Oryza sativa Japonica Group: one gene and its partners. The protein of the gene in region 3 binds, or shares a complex with, the protein of the main gene of each other region. Links are inferred from orthologs where the notes say so. Each region holds a gene or a part of one and is shown on either strand. Other genes may lie near its edges.

Region 1 (3,129 bases), about 16 Mb from region 3:
CCCCCCGGAGCACCCCCTTCAATTTTTTCACCATGAATGATAAACTAAAGGTTCCTAAATGGTTGGAAATTGAAGAAACAGTGTAATTGAGCCCCTCCAATATTTTGTTCCTGGATCCGCCCCTGGATATCGGGTATATGCCATTGGAATTTTACAAAATTTGAGCTATGCCACTCCATCACAATTTTTGTCACCCTCTCCTTCGACGATGGCGGCGGGCTCAGCGCACAGCGTGGAGTCATCGCATGCGACGGTAGGGAAGAAGAGGTGGTGCGGGTCTCCGTCCCCAACCTTGCCTCCATGGCTCCACCATAGTGTCGTCGGCCACAGCTTATGGGGGCATTATCAGCAAGGAAGACAATGGGGGAGAAGAAGAGGTGGCGGGTCTCCATCCCAATATAACTGTAGATTCATTGGCCGCGGCACGTGGGGCTCCACCGGCAAGGAAGATGACGGTTCTAGACGCCGCTCCCCTCCAGTGCGGGGATTAGGCTTAGCGCTCCCCTCCATCTTTCACCGGCGGCGTGGGGTCTGTGACCGCCACTCCCCTCCAACGCATGGGTTGGGCTCGGCGCTTCCCTCCACCTTCCACCAGCGATGCAGGGTTCATGACCGTCACTCCCCTCCAGCTCCACCTCCCTTCATTGGGTATTAAGCTTGCAATCGTCACCGGATTGGCAACGCCCTCATCGAAGAAGCTCTCTCCGTGCAGTCGTCGACGAGCCTGAGAACCGCCAGATTTTCGCCTGAGTTGAAGAAGAAACTGATCTGCGTTGTGCGGTGTTGAGCTAACAGAGGTATTGACAGTTGTTGTAACGGAGTGGCATAGCTCAAATTTTGCAAAATTTCAGTGGCATGAACCTGATATCGTGAATAGTAATGGCAAATTGGTAAACTTGCAATAACATGATCCAATTAACCCATATCTTTGGGGAGGCTAATGCGCACGTACGTGCTAGCAATTTAGCTGGCGCCCGCGTCAGTTGGCCCCCTCCCCTGTTCCCGCGTGCTTTTCTTTCTCACTTTTTTTTTACGATTTTGGCGCCTGGATCCGGGTGCGTTTTTCTTTTTTTTCGCCATTTCTTTCTATTTTTTTAATCTTTCGCACACCCCTTTACAAATGTAGAGTTGAAAGTTTTAAATTTTGACTTCAAAGTTTTTAAATTTGACTTGAAAGTTTTCAAATCTGAGTTGAAAGTTTTAAATTTGAGTTGAATTTTTTCAATTTGAGATGAAAAGTTGAAAGTTTTCAAAATTTGACTTTAAAAAAAATTCAAATTTCGAGTTGAAAGTTTTCAAATATGGGTTGAAAGTTTTCAGAATTTGACTTGATGTATAAATTTCTTTTCAATCTGTTACTTTAAAAAATTTTCGGAAAAAACAAATCTTATCTTGATTATCTAAAACTAATGTATTTTTTTACACGCTAAAACTAATGGACTAGTTACTACATGCGCTATGGAAAGAATCTAACCGCGCCCGTGCGGTGCCGTGCATACGCGTGGGCCAGAAGTGCGCGCCCGCGGCGCGTATGCGAGAATTAGGAATTCTGCATATTTTTACCACGTAAACGAAATAATTGCATACATTTTTTTTTCTGGGCCAGTAAGTAACCAACGTGTATCAGCCCAAACCAAACAACAATTAAGAAAGCCCAGCCAAAGCGAGGCAGGCGAGCGGCCACCCGCACGGCACCAAAGCCTCAAAAATTGAGAATCATCAACGCTTGAGAGGATAACACACACCAGAAACCGATAAGGGACACGAAACAGGGGAATCCGGAGCAAAGTGCGACGCGAGCGCGCGAGGAAGCAGCAGCCATGGCGCTCTCCCTCTCCACCTCCTTCCTCCCGACCCAAGCCGCCGCGGCGGCCACGAGGACCACCCTCCGCTCCCTCGTCCCCTCCCAGGTACGATTCCTTCGATGCCCCCACAACCGCGTAGGCGTAGCGCCGCCGAATCGGAGATTCGGAGGAGGTGATTGGAACTGGGCGGTGGTGTGACGATTTGCCGTGCAGAGGATGCGGTGCTCGATGCGGAAGAAGGGGCTGCACCCGGAGATCTACGAGGACGCGAAGGTGTACTGCAACGGGGAGCTGGTGCTGGTGACGGGGGGAACCAAGCCGGAGTACACGGTGGACGTGTGGTCGGGGAACCACCCCTACTACGTCGGCGACACGTCGGCGATGGTCGTCATGGACAGCCAGATCGAGAAGTTCCGCAAGAAGTGGGGCCACATCAAGGAGTACTGGCCCGAGGACCAGTGGAGGGAGATGCACCCCGACGGCGACCCGGAGTTCGACCCGGAGGAGGAGGGATCCGCCGGCGCCAGCTGAGCCCCCGCTTCGCCTCTCGCCTCCGCCGCCGGCCTCGCCGGTGCGGTTTCTCTTGGTTGATTTTGGGAATTGCGTAAAATGGATTAGCTCCTCTTGCTTGCGCCTCTCGTTACACGTGCATTCGCATTGCTCTCTAGGTGTTCGATCGGTGTTCTCAGTGGATACGTGTGATCATATTTGTGGTATCGAACTGTTTGTTCTCTGCCTGTACTCTTTGACATCGATATAAAATGGAGATATTGCAATTTGCACACTCTGTAATTGGACATTTCCAACTCGTTGAATCGATGCATGCTAGTGTTGGTCTGGGCTCTCGAATAGAATCGTTGCATACATCAGTTTGTCCGGTCTTCAGAATAAGCAGTAAGGGGCTGTTAGTTCACGTACTAACATTGCTAAGGTTTACCATGTTTTCTCGCTAAAGTTGAGGCCATCAAAATCCAAGCCACGCTCTAGCCAATAAAGGCTATGTTTAGTTCCCAAAAACTTTTCGCAAAAACATCACATCGAATCTTTGGACACATATACGAAGCATTAAATATAGATAAAAAAAATTAATTACACAGTTTACATGTAAATCGCGAGACGAATCTTTTGAGTCTAATTAGTCTATGATTAGCCATAAGTGCTACGGTAACCCACATGTGCTAATGACGGCTTGATTAGGCTCAAAAGATTCGTCTCGTGGTTTCCAGTAACCCACATGTGCTAATGATGGCTTAATTAGGCTCAAAAGATTCGTCTCGTGGTTTCTAGGCGAGTTATGAAATTAGTTTTTTTTTATTCGTGTCCG
Region 2 (2,998 bases), on a different chromosome or scaffold from region 3:
CCCTGTACCAGACGTTCTTGTTTCCCTGCATCTTATTTCTTGGATTTCAGTACTACCAATGACATTATTATATGAACTATACACTTCCATTATCAAAACCATCATTTCATGTTAGGGATGGCTTGAAGTGCACACGAGTTATGGAGAGAATGGTAAGCATCGGATGTTTGGTTTTCTGTGAAATTGCGTTGAGCATGCTGAGTCCGGAACAACTCCGTGTTTACAGCATCAGAGCAGCTGCTGTTGCTTGATCGTCGCAGTTTATATCCTTTCCACCTGACATCCTTGCAATGTTTATATCCATTTTGATCGTCGTACAAGAGATTCGCATGGTTTTCTTACCTGTAAAAAAAAGTTTGAATTATATATATATATATATATATATATATATATATATATATATATATATATATATATATATATATATATATATATATATATATATATATATATATAGTGATGCATCTACAAATCGGGCGCTCGATTTTTTACAAAAATCAGGCATTGTTTCACTAAATAGATCGAAAATGTTTCAATATTTTTAAAAAAGCTGAAACACAACCAAATCACATCGTGAAATATTTTGTTACAACATATGAAACAACAGTTTCCAAAAAAAAATCAGGCATTGTTTCATCCTATATAAAAACAATATTTCAGCAAATAGCAAAGGATGTTTCAAATCATTGCAACATTTGATCATACATAGTGAAACATCACGAGTACACTTGCTAAAACATTGTTGGTGGAAAAAAAAATGAAACGGATTCCTTTAATAAAGTATTTCCTTAATGTGCGGGTGATTTGTTATAACGACGCGTGTGGTGGGGCACGTGGGGGGGGGGACAACGCATAAGGGGTGGGAGCGTGCGGGAGGCGGCGAGCGCCCGATTTTTCTACCGCTGATCGGGCGCCTAATCGCTGTCATTTTCTTATATAGTGATATCTATTGTGTTGAATAATTCAGTACACTGATGTATGTTATGTTTTATTGTACATATCAAGAGTTTTTGAACTCAAGAAAACAATAGTGATGTATGCTGTGTTGAACAAGGCAGTGAAGATTGGAGTTGTTGGTACACGACTTCACTCACTATGGTTTAAATTGACGTCTATGAATACCACACATACGCGTTTGCTCTATGCCTCTATTTTTTTTTATTTGGAACTCTTAATCTTATTTTCAACCGCTCATGGATCAAGATCGAACGGCTATAAATCCTCAAGCAAAGGTCAATCTCCACGGAAGCTTCTTTCTGTGCAGCTGACCGAGCTGAGTTCACCATCTTCTCAGGCACTGACGATACGGTCCCACATAATCCAGTGAGCCCCCCGCCTCATCTTCCCCACAGATAAGCTCTCCCACTCCACTCTTTCTCCCAACCCGCCATAGCTCCCGGCCTCCGAAGATGGAGACCTCCTCCTTCCTCCGCACCACCCTCCCCACCGCGAAGCCCCTCCCGGCGTTCCAGACCCTCGCACCCCGCCCCCGCCCCCGCCCGCTCCGCCGCTCCACCATCAGCGCGGCCATCACCCGAGGCCGCAAGGAGGACACGGTGGCCGCCGTCCGCGAGCAGCTGGAGGGCTGCTACCTCCTCGCCGGGATCCGCTACGAGGGCCTCACGGTGAAGCAGCTGCAGGGCATCCGCGACACCCTCCCGGAGACCTGCCGGCTGCTGGTGGCGAAGAACACGCTGGTGGGGAAGGCCATCGAGGGCACGCCGTGGGAGGCGCTCAAGCCGTGCATGAAGGGGATGAACGCGTGGCTGTTCGTCCACACCGAGGAGGTCCCCGCCGCGCTCAAGCCCTACCGCGCCTTCCAGAAGGAGGAGCGCCTCGAGGAGACCAACGACTTCGTCGGCGCGGTGTTCGAGGGCAAGTTCTACGCCCCCGGGGACTTCAAGGCGCTCGAGACAATGCCCAGCCGCGCCGAGGTGTACGCCAAGCTGCTCGGCTCGCTGCAGGGGCCCGCGACCTCCGTCGTCACCACGCTGCAGGCGCCGGCCAGGGACGTCGTCTCCGTGCTCTCGGCGTACGTGCGCAAGCTCGAGCAGGAGGTCGGCGCCGCCTGATGGCTGTTGAGAGATGGTTTTGTGGCTTCGTTTCTCTCATCTCACTCATTTCTTGTAGAATTCCTGTACTTTTACTGCCTCACGTTTGAATTGAATCACAAAAGTTTTACCTCTTACAACGCATGCCTACTGGTCTGATTTCATAAGATTACCGAGTTCTGATGTTATTAGGATTACGTTGCGTACTTAGAGGGAATGCTTGTTCCACAACTAGTGTTTTGATAATTTAATTTTACCTGTAGAGACTACAGAGATCAAAGTTTAGTAGGTTGAGGGGCAATGGCAATGCACAATTAGAATGGTCAATAACTACTAGTGCTTGTGTAGTTGTACCATCAATCAGTGTATCCAGGTTTACAACAAAGTTGTTCAAAGCAGTATGATGAGATGTTTTAAAATCATGAACTTAACTGTGCTCTTTTTGTTAAGAGCAAACCTCCTTGAAGTGAACAAAATTAAATGATTAATTCATCTTTTAGTAACAGAATAACACTAATTAGAGTTGGAAATTCTTCTGAATTAGCTTCTGAAACTTACTGTTGGTCACCAGCTCACCACATACCTAATTTGTATCATTTCTGTCTGAACGCGCAGTGGATCAAGAATAGAATTGGCAAAATTGATGATCACATGGTCACTTATTTGTTTGATACTGATTTCTTCTGACAGTCATGGTATTGTCCTAGGTTATTGTACTTGAGTGATAGTTGTAGTTTTGCAGGAGTGACTACCAGGCATGTCAATATGCCAATATCATTCGCCCAATGGATAAGGATGTGAGAGGCTCTTGAGAATATAGAGGAAAGCTTGTTAGGACCAAGTTGCAGTCTTACGGATGTGAAATTGCTTTGGTATGGGAAACCATTTCTTTGGTCCATTCCTGAAGATCGTGTTGTTTGGTTATAAAAGATACATAAAAGATACAT
Region 3 (3,368 bases):
GGAATCCATCTTATGAGACTGTCAGACTGATGCTGAAAAAGGTCAAAAACATAGTCAGCTACGGCCATGTTCAGTTCCTACGATAGAGAGATTACAAATTTTGTTTCCACAAAAAACATCGTGGTTAACATTTCAAGAACTTGTGACGGTACACCATCAAGTCACAAAGATGGCTCAAGAAGGCTAAATTTCAGATAAATTTTACAACCACATCAACAGGAAGGGCATCAGAAAAAAAATCGAAAATGGCACTCTTCAGATTGTTCACATCGTGCCTGACAAAGTGGCAAACAACAAACAAACCCGAATTTGCTCCAGTTATTTCCTTGTCCAGGTTGATCCTTTGTGCTTTAATCAACATCAGGTCAGACGAAAGAGTTGTGAGAGGCCCTAACAAAACACATCATGGAAGTGTATATACAGGCAAATACCTCACAAATATAGAGTGCAGCACAGCAAGGCTTCTTGAAATTTGCTATGATTTTGAGTTTTTGACAAACACAGAAGGCATCAAGGTGCATATGATATTTCCACTATGGGAACACACATTAGATTTAGTGGTACTTCTGTAGGACAGCTAAAGCCTAAAGGAGAAAAAGGAGGGACATGTTAGAAGAAAATTTGTTCAGTACTGGGCTTTGTGTGTTTTTAACGGTGACCGGTTTATCCATTATCTAAAAAATACAAGATGAAATTTCATCGGGAAAGAAATAATCACATTTTGCAAACATTGTGTTTCATATTTTGAACAGCAAAATTCGCTGGGCATCAGCTTAGGAAATACAGAGACGGATGAACAGAACATAGAGGTGTACAGAAGAACAGCGACCGACATCACTGCTGGTTAGACGTTCTTGAGCTTCTTCATCTTGGATGGTGGCCATCTACCTTTCTTCCTCAGCCGCCTCTTCTGGACAAGCCTCCTGCGCCGCTGCCTCAGCTTCTTGGCCAGCTTCATCTTCGCCCTCTGCTCCATGATCATCTTCTGCTTAGTTTCGAGCGGCATTGTCTCAATCGAAACCGTGGGTTTTGGCTCCTCTGGTTGATCTGTGCCAGCTTCTTCTGCGCCAGCCTCTGCCGAGGCATGGACAGAAACTAGCCTCTTCTTGGTGAAAGAAGCATTCAGAGGGCTCTGCGAGGAGAGATTCTTGCACTGGAGCCTTGGGGCTGTAGCATCAGAAAGGACAAATGGCAAGCCTCAATGTGCATCATTTTAGATATAGAATTCAGAGTACATGCATGCTACTTTCAAAATTTTGATAGAATCTCCGTCATATAAGAAACTTGAAAGCTAATAAGTCTAGCTCATGTGTGCCACTTCATGGATAGTATATAGTACAATAACTAGTAACAATCCTAGTGTTCTCAATTACATATTATGATGAATCTTAGCAGAGCACAGATATGTAAAATCTACTCATCTATTAACAATCAGGCCCCAAATGTAGGGTGTACTACGAATGTCACCCTTTGCCAGTGACCGGTGCTTACATAGCATCTGATATTATCATTTAAGCACGAAAGAACCAAAGCTTCGAGAATCTGCAGAGTTCACTGAGATGAATTATACCTAGCTTTGTACAGAGATGATAAATGCACGGAATCTCCCACGAATTACTGCATCTGCACACGACGTGTTTGAAGAAATTCCCTAACGAGCCAACCGCATCCCAGAGAATCAGAAACGCCACGAATCACCAACGTCAAATATCTAGACCAATCCTCCCACCGAATTACAAATCACACCTCACAACAATGGATAGCCTCGTACCCACTCAGCATAATCCAATCCAAGAACCAACACCCCACAACCCGAGTAACTTATGCGCAAAAGTCCCGGTACGGAGAAGGCGTTCACGGAGGTTACCGGGGATGGTGGAGGCGACATTGGCGGAGGCGGGGAGAGCTCTGGCGCGAGGCGGGGAGGCGGAGGAGGAGGCGAGGAAGGAGACGGTCGGGGAGAGGAGCAGCGCCATGGCCACGGGCAGTGTGGGATTCGGCTTCTTGGCCCGTCGTCAGCCTATCCACCCATCAGCCCGGAGGGAGGAGATAAGCCTGTGCTGCTGTGAGCGCTCCGCCGTCCGATGGAGAATCAACGGCCAGATTTAATCTCCGTCAAGTAAGGCTGCTTGGCAGTTGGCCCACATGTCATAGGTGGAGAGAAATTTTGATTTTGATTTTCTTTTTCTCCTCTCGCCGCCTCCGCCGCCGCCGCGGGTGGCGGCGACAATCCGCATCGGCGGCGTCCCCTCCGCCCGGCCGCGCTCGCCGTCGCGTCCTACGCCGCCGCCGGCCGCCACATCCTGCGTTCGACGTGGATAGCAAGAGGTGGGGGAGCTCGCCGACGACAAGAACCTCCCGTTCGACGGCCAAGCGGGTGCCCATCGGTGATGAGAAGAGCAGCTAGCGACAACCTCTTCGTCTCCCACTCCAAGCCGAAGCACGCGCCGGCGCCGCCGTGTACCGCATCAAGAATGTCTCCTCCTCGTCGTCGCCGTCGCCGTCGCCGTCGCCGGCGTAGAGCAGTTTCAGCATCGAGGACGAGGAGGTGTCTGTACAGGAGCTGCTGCCAATGGTTGATCCGGGTCGTCAGCTCTCGTGCGCCATTGGGGATGGAAGCTTCTGCTCCTTCAGCTCGCGGACACCCATCAAGATTATGGAGCGTGCAGAGATCCTCCAGCCGAGCGTAGCTTCGACATGGACATCAATGCTGCCGGAGAGGAGGATGAGGATGATGCACGAGCCATCGTTGTATCAGTGTCAGAGAAGATTTACAGAATCTACGACAAGTCTCGCAGGCTGGCTCGCAGGGTTCAAATTTCCGGTTCGACCAAAGTTTTTTTTATTCTTTTGTGTGAATTTAGTAATATTTATTCAAATTTGACCAAATTTTGTTCGAAAATTCAAATAATTCTGGACCAAATTTCGGTATATCAGCACCCCAATACAAATACTGAAAACGAAAAATTGAACCATGGGCTCGCCAAGCGCCACTGATTGCTACATTGTTTATCTAAGAAAGCTTTGAGTGGGGTCGGAGACGCCTTGCGACAACATTGGCAAACTCCTCTTTGTGGGAACGACGACGACAGTTGGAGATGGTACAAAAGCGAAATTCTGGGACTTTGCTTGGTTGCAAGGGAGAAGGCTTAAGGAAGTTGGCCCCTCTGGTCTAAGCGACTTTCTGGAAGAAAAACAGAACTCTACAGTAGGCCACCAAATCTGGCCAATGGCTACTCGACATCAACCTATCGGCGATTGCAACTAGGATGACCAAACTAATCAGTCAGCTCGTCACTGTCTGGAATGCAGTCCAAGAAGTGCATCTCGTAGAGGGCGAGGAAGACACGACCACTTGGAAGCTAACC
Region 4 (4,052 bases), about 31 Mb from region 3:
TCAACATATTGTGCTGTTTCTACAATACTAGCAGTGCCCAACTGCCCATGACAGCGATGAAATTGATTTTCATAATAGTGAACCTAAATGCATCCTATTTTTCCTGGTAAAAGATGTTCCTTTGAGATGTATGTCAAAGTTGTGAGCGAAAATTGGAGGAAGGATGCAGGCGTAGAACTTACCATCCCAATCACCAACTCACATACTTTACGTTGTAGAGAGTAGAGATAGTAGGTCCCTCAAGAAGGAATCAAGGAAATGCAGATGTCTCATTGCAGTCTTGCGGCAACCAAATCAATTAAGAGGCTGAAACCCCACTACAGCCCTACATGCCAAAAGAAACTACTTTTGCAAGAACCTCTTGTAAAGTAGTTTCAAATACGGCCTGAACCATATATCATACCCCCAGTGATGATGTTGATCCATTGCAAATTGCAATTCCACATGAATACCACTACTTTCAAGCATCAGATCAGCCCACCACAACACCCATAACACAATTACGTGGAACTTGTGGTACCGGAATACTGGAATAGACCCATCCTAGTCCCTAAAGCCTAGCTGCCAGGAAAGGTACATGCATACAACAAGTCGAACAGGACTAACCAATGAGTTGAACATGGGCCTTGTATTCATCTCACTGTTGATGATTCAGTTGGAATAGACCCGCCCTAGTTCCTAAAGCCTAGCTGCCAGAAAAGATACAGCAAGCCGAACATGGCTAAACAAGGAGTTGAAGATGGGCCTTGTATTCATCTCATAGTTGATGATTTACATTCCAAACATTGTTATCAAACATGGATTGCGAAAATGGAGAAAAACGGGGCAGAGAACTTATCAGCAGTCTGCATTGACCTCAGGACTTTCATCTGCAGCTGCCAACACCAATTGCACCTCAACAATTCCCTCTGCTCTTGCCTTTTTGCGTTCACGCTGCATGCGGAAGTACTCTCTCTTTCTTGCTCTGTAACTGTTTGGGTTCTCAGGTTGTTTCTCGTATGGGTAAACACTTACCTGTAAAAGAAAAGGCAACAGAAAACCACTTAGATACAATTATAAGTAGATGCTGACAAGTTATAGCTAGGATGCAGACTTTCACCTTTTTCTTGTCTGGTCCATATTTCTCGAACTTTACGAGGCCATCGATCAAAGAAAAGAGGGTGTGATCCTTGCCCATTCCAACATTATTTCCAGGATAGACCTAAAATGACCAATGAAAATGTATAAGAAAAAGCAAGAATATGTCCGTAAAATGTGAAATTACTGTATGAAACGCAACTGCTCATAACATGTAGAAACATAGACTATTGCAGAGGGTGTGTGTGGTGGTTCAGGGATAAACTTCAAAGAAGTTGCATATGCATTACTGAAACAGCGGGACAAATGCCAGAACTTGGAAAGTACATCGAAAGGATGCATGCATGCCTTGCAATACGATACAATACATAAGAGGAAGTAGTTTAGCAGCACATGCAACTGTTTTTACAGGATACACACATTTATGTAGCACATTCTTGTGCTATGTTAGTTCATGGATGTGAAGAAAGTAACTATCAGTTGAGTCTTTAGTGCAGAAACAGCACGTCCTAATATCAAAGTGTACTTCCTCCTTTTCTCTCTGCATTGCATTAGAGTGCCTGAAACATCTAGTTCCCCTGAAGTCTGAAGAGTGTGTAATTCTTGGCCACATCCCACGATATTGGTAAGAATGTACCACATGCGGCCACGTCTTAGCAAACGGGTGGCGTTGCATAGAATAACAGACTTTCTCTAGGACCAACTTTGGAACACGATCATTGTCATGCCTTTTTGTTAAAGAATATTCACACCATTCCTGAACTCTGAATTGTGCAGATGTTAGTTAACACAACAACCTCACCTAAATTCACAAATTGTTCAGAGCTGGACGAAGCTATACTATCAGTCAAAATTTGAGGAGAAAAGTCGAACACATGAAACATCCAAGAACCAGTAAGTAAAGGAAGAGGATGGTGATGACCCTGGTGCCGCGCTGGCGGATGATGATGGCGCCGGGCTTGGCGACCTGGTCGCCGTAAATCTTGACACCGAGGCGCTGCCCGGGGGAGTCCCTCCCGTTCTTGGTGCTCCCGGCCCCCTTCTTGTGCGCCATCTGGATCGTCAGCCGCCGCACCGGCATCGTCATCGGCACCCCCATCCCGACCCCGCCGCCGACGGAGAGCGAGACACGGTCAGCGCGGAGGAAGGAGGCGGAGGAGGAGGAATGGCACGGGGAGGAGAGGGACATCCCCTTGAATGCTCCCACCAGTGTGAACGCCATGGACGCCATTGCGCTCTCGAGCAGCGGCGGAGTCGCGAGGAGAAGAGAAAGAGAAGATAGAGTGTGGGAGCACAGCGGCGAGGTGATAACGTGGGAGTGGAGAGGAAGACGTGGGCTCTTTTTTTTTGGGTCGGGATCACCCATTTACGGCCCATCACGCGGTTGGGAATCCCTTTCCGGCCCACGTACTTTGGCCCAGCACACGTAAGCGGGAGGGAATGACGCGCCGGCCCAGCACGTGGGTGGGAATCACGTGCCGGCCTACCGCAAAGCCTTTGTGGGCCCGATGTTGTGGGCTTCGTGGAAACGCGAGGAAAAGGGCCGGCCCATACATCTCTTCTTTTTCTTTTTGCTGGACAAAATTAGATGGAATTACTTTTTTTTTTCAGTTACATTGCAGACGCACCCACGCACACACTATTACACAAGCAACACCACACTCATAGCCCTGCGAATGTGTCCCTTAACATGCGCTCTAAGAGAGAGAAACTAGCGGAACATTACTAATTAATCTCACTAAAATCTTGTTGAAAGTCCACTTGCATATGCGTAATATTCGTGGGCGCTAGGATTTGAACCCTGGAGGATAAAATCATATACCCACAACTCCACCACCACATCACTTTCGCTTCCCAAATTAGATGGAATTATAGTATTGAATTAAACATTACGGAGAAAAAAAAGAGAAATATATTAGCAGAAGGTAACATGGAGAAAAAAAATAGAGAAATATATTAGCAGAAGGTAACAGAAAAGACCAAAAATGAATCATGAATTTCAAAGAGAGAGAGAGAGAGAGAGAGAGAGAGAGAGAGAGAGAGAGAGAGAGAGAGAGAGAGAGAGAGAGAGCATAAGTTGTGATTCTTGTGGCGAAAACAACAAATCAACAATATTTCCTGGAGATTGAAGTCACTTTGCGAGAGGGAGGAGAGGAGTGGAGTTAGGGCCACCAGAATTCCAGAAAGCATATGAGATGGAAGCTAGAAGAAGAGGAGGAGGAGGTGTGGATGAAATCTGAATTGAGTGTGTGGATGAAGTGAATCGAAGAGCCCCAATTGTGAGCAAGAATGATGGCGGGCTTGACTGCAAAGGCAAAGTAGGCTGGCTGGGGATTGATTCCTTGTTGTTGTTGTATGGACACACCACCCCCACCGGCCATGCCCATGCATGATTCATCCTTGACAAAGTGTGCCTCGCTATGGAGTGTGGATCTGTGGATCCAATTATAGCTAGCCCTCCTTAACCCCACCATCCGTTTTCCACTGTTCATCTTCAATTCATGATTAGCCCCCCCCCCCAAATTTTGATTTAGATTATTACCACAGATTATCTACTTAATTATAGGAATAAATTGTATACTATCTTCATTTTTTAATATATGACGCCGTTGACTTTTTCTCACACATTTAACCATTCGTATTATTTAAAAAGAATTACTTAATTATAATTTATTTTGTTGTAAGTTGTTTTATCACTCAAAGTACTTTAAACATGATTTATATCTTATATATTTTCATAATTTTTTTAATAAGACGAATGGTAAACATGTATTTAAAAGTCAACGATTAAAAAACGGAGGGAGTATTTTCAAAAGCGAACTTATAGATAGTACTCCCTTCGTCCCAAAATATAAGCATTCATGTCTATGAATCTGGACAATTGTATGTTCAGATTCATAGCTAAAAGTTGTTATATTTTGGGATGGAGGTAGTAGCTTAAAATTGACTGTAACTTCATCGAATATATAATCCTT

The links.
Region 1: large ribosomal subunit protein cL37 (region 3) and uncharacterized protein share a complex: the UniProt entries of both Arabidopsis thaliana proteins name them as parts of the 50S ribosomal subunit. The link is inferred for Oryza sativa Japonica Group from reciprocal best matches to the Arabidopsis thaliana genes PSRP5 and emb2184.
Region 2: large ribosomal subunit protein cL37 (region 3) and large ribosomal subunit protein uL10c share a complex: the UniProt entries of both Arabidopsis thaliana proteins name them as parts of the 50S ribosomal subunit. The link is inferred for Oryza sativa Japonica Group from reciprocal best matches to the Arabidopsis thaliana genes PSRP5 and EMB3136.
Region 4: large ribosomal subunit protein cL37 (region 3) and large ribosomal subunit protein bL27c share a complex: the UniProt entries of both Arabidopsis thaliana proteins name them as parts of the 50S ribosomal subunit. The link is inferred for Oryza sativa Japonica Group from reciprocal best matches to the Arabidopsis thaliana genes PSRP5 and RPL27.

What each region holds. Positions count from the first base shown.
Region 1 is NC_089035.1:25,929,464-25,932,592, reverse strand, and holds uncharacterized protein, read left to right. Parts: upstream 1-1,736; 5' UTR 1,737-1,820; coding exon 1,821-1,910; intron 1,911-2,018; coding exon 2,019-2,336; 3' UTR 2,337-2,597; downstream 2,598-3,129. UniProt on the Arabidopsis thaliana protein: Binds the 23S rRNA.
Region 2 is NC_089037.1:9,831,576-9,834,573, reverse strand, and holds large ribosomal subunit protein uL10c, read left to right. Parts: upstream 1-1,348; 5' UTR 1,349-1,409; coding exon 1,410-2,072; 3' UTR 2,073-2,195; downstream 2,196-2,998. UniProt on the Arabidopsis thaliana protein: This protein binds directly to 23S ribosomal RNA.
Region 3 is NC_089035.1:9,871,123-9,874,490, reverse strand, and holds large ribosomal subunit protein cL37, read right to left. Parts: upstream 2,023-3,368; 5' UTR 1,977-2,022; coding exon 1,868-1,976; intron 1,168-1,867; coding exon 845-1,167; 3' UTR 695-844; downstream 1-694.
Region 4 is NC_089035.1:41,095,144-41,099,195, reverse strand, and holds large ribosomal subunit protein bL27c, read right to left. Parts: upstream 2,392-4,052; 5' UTR 2,309-2,391; coding exon 2,000-2,308; intron 1,202-1,999; coding exon 1,100-1,201; intron 1,015-1,099; coding exon 838-1,014; 3' UTR 546-837; downstream 1-545.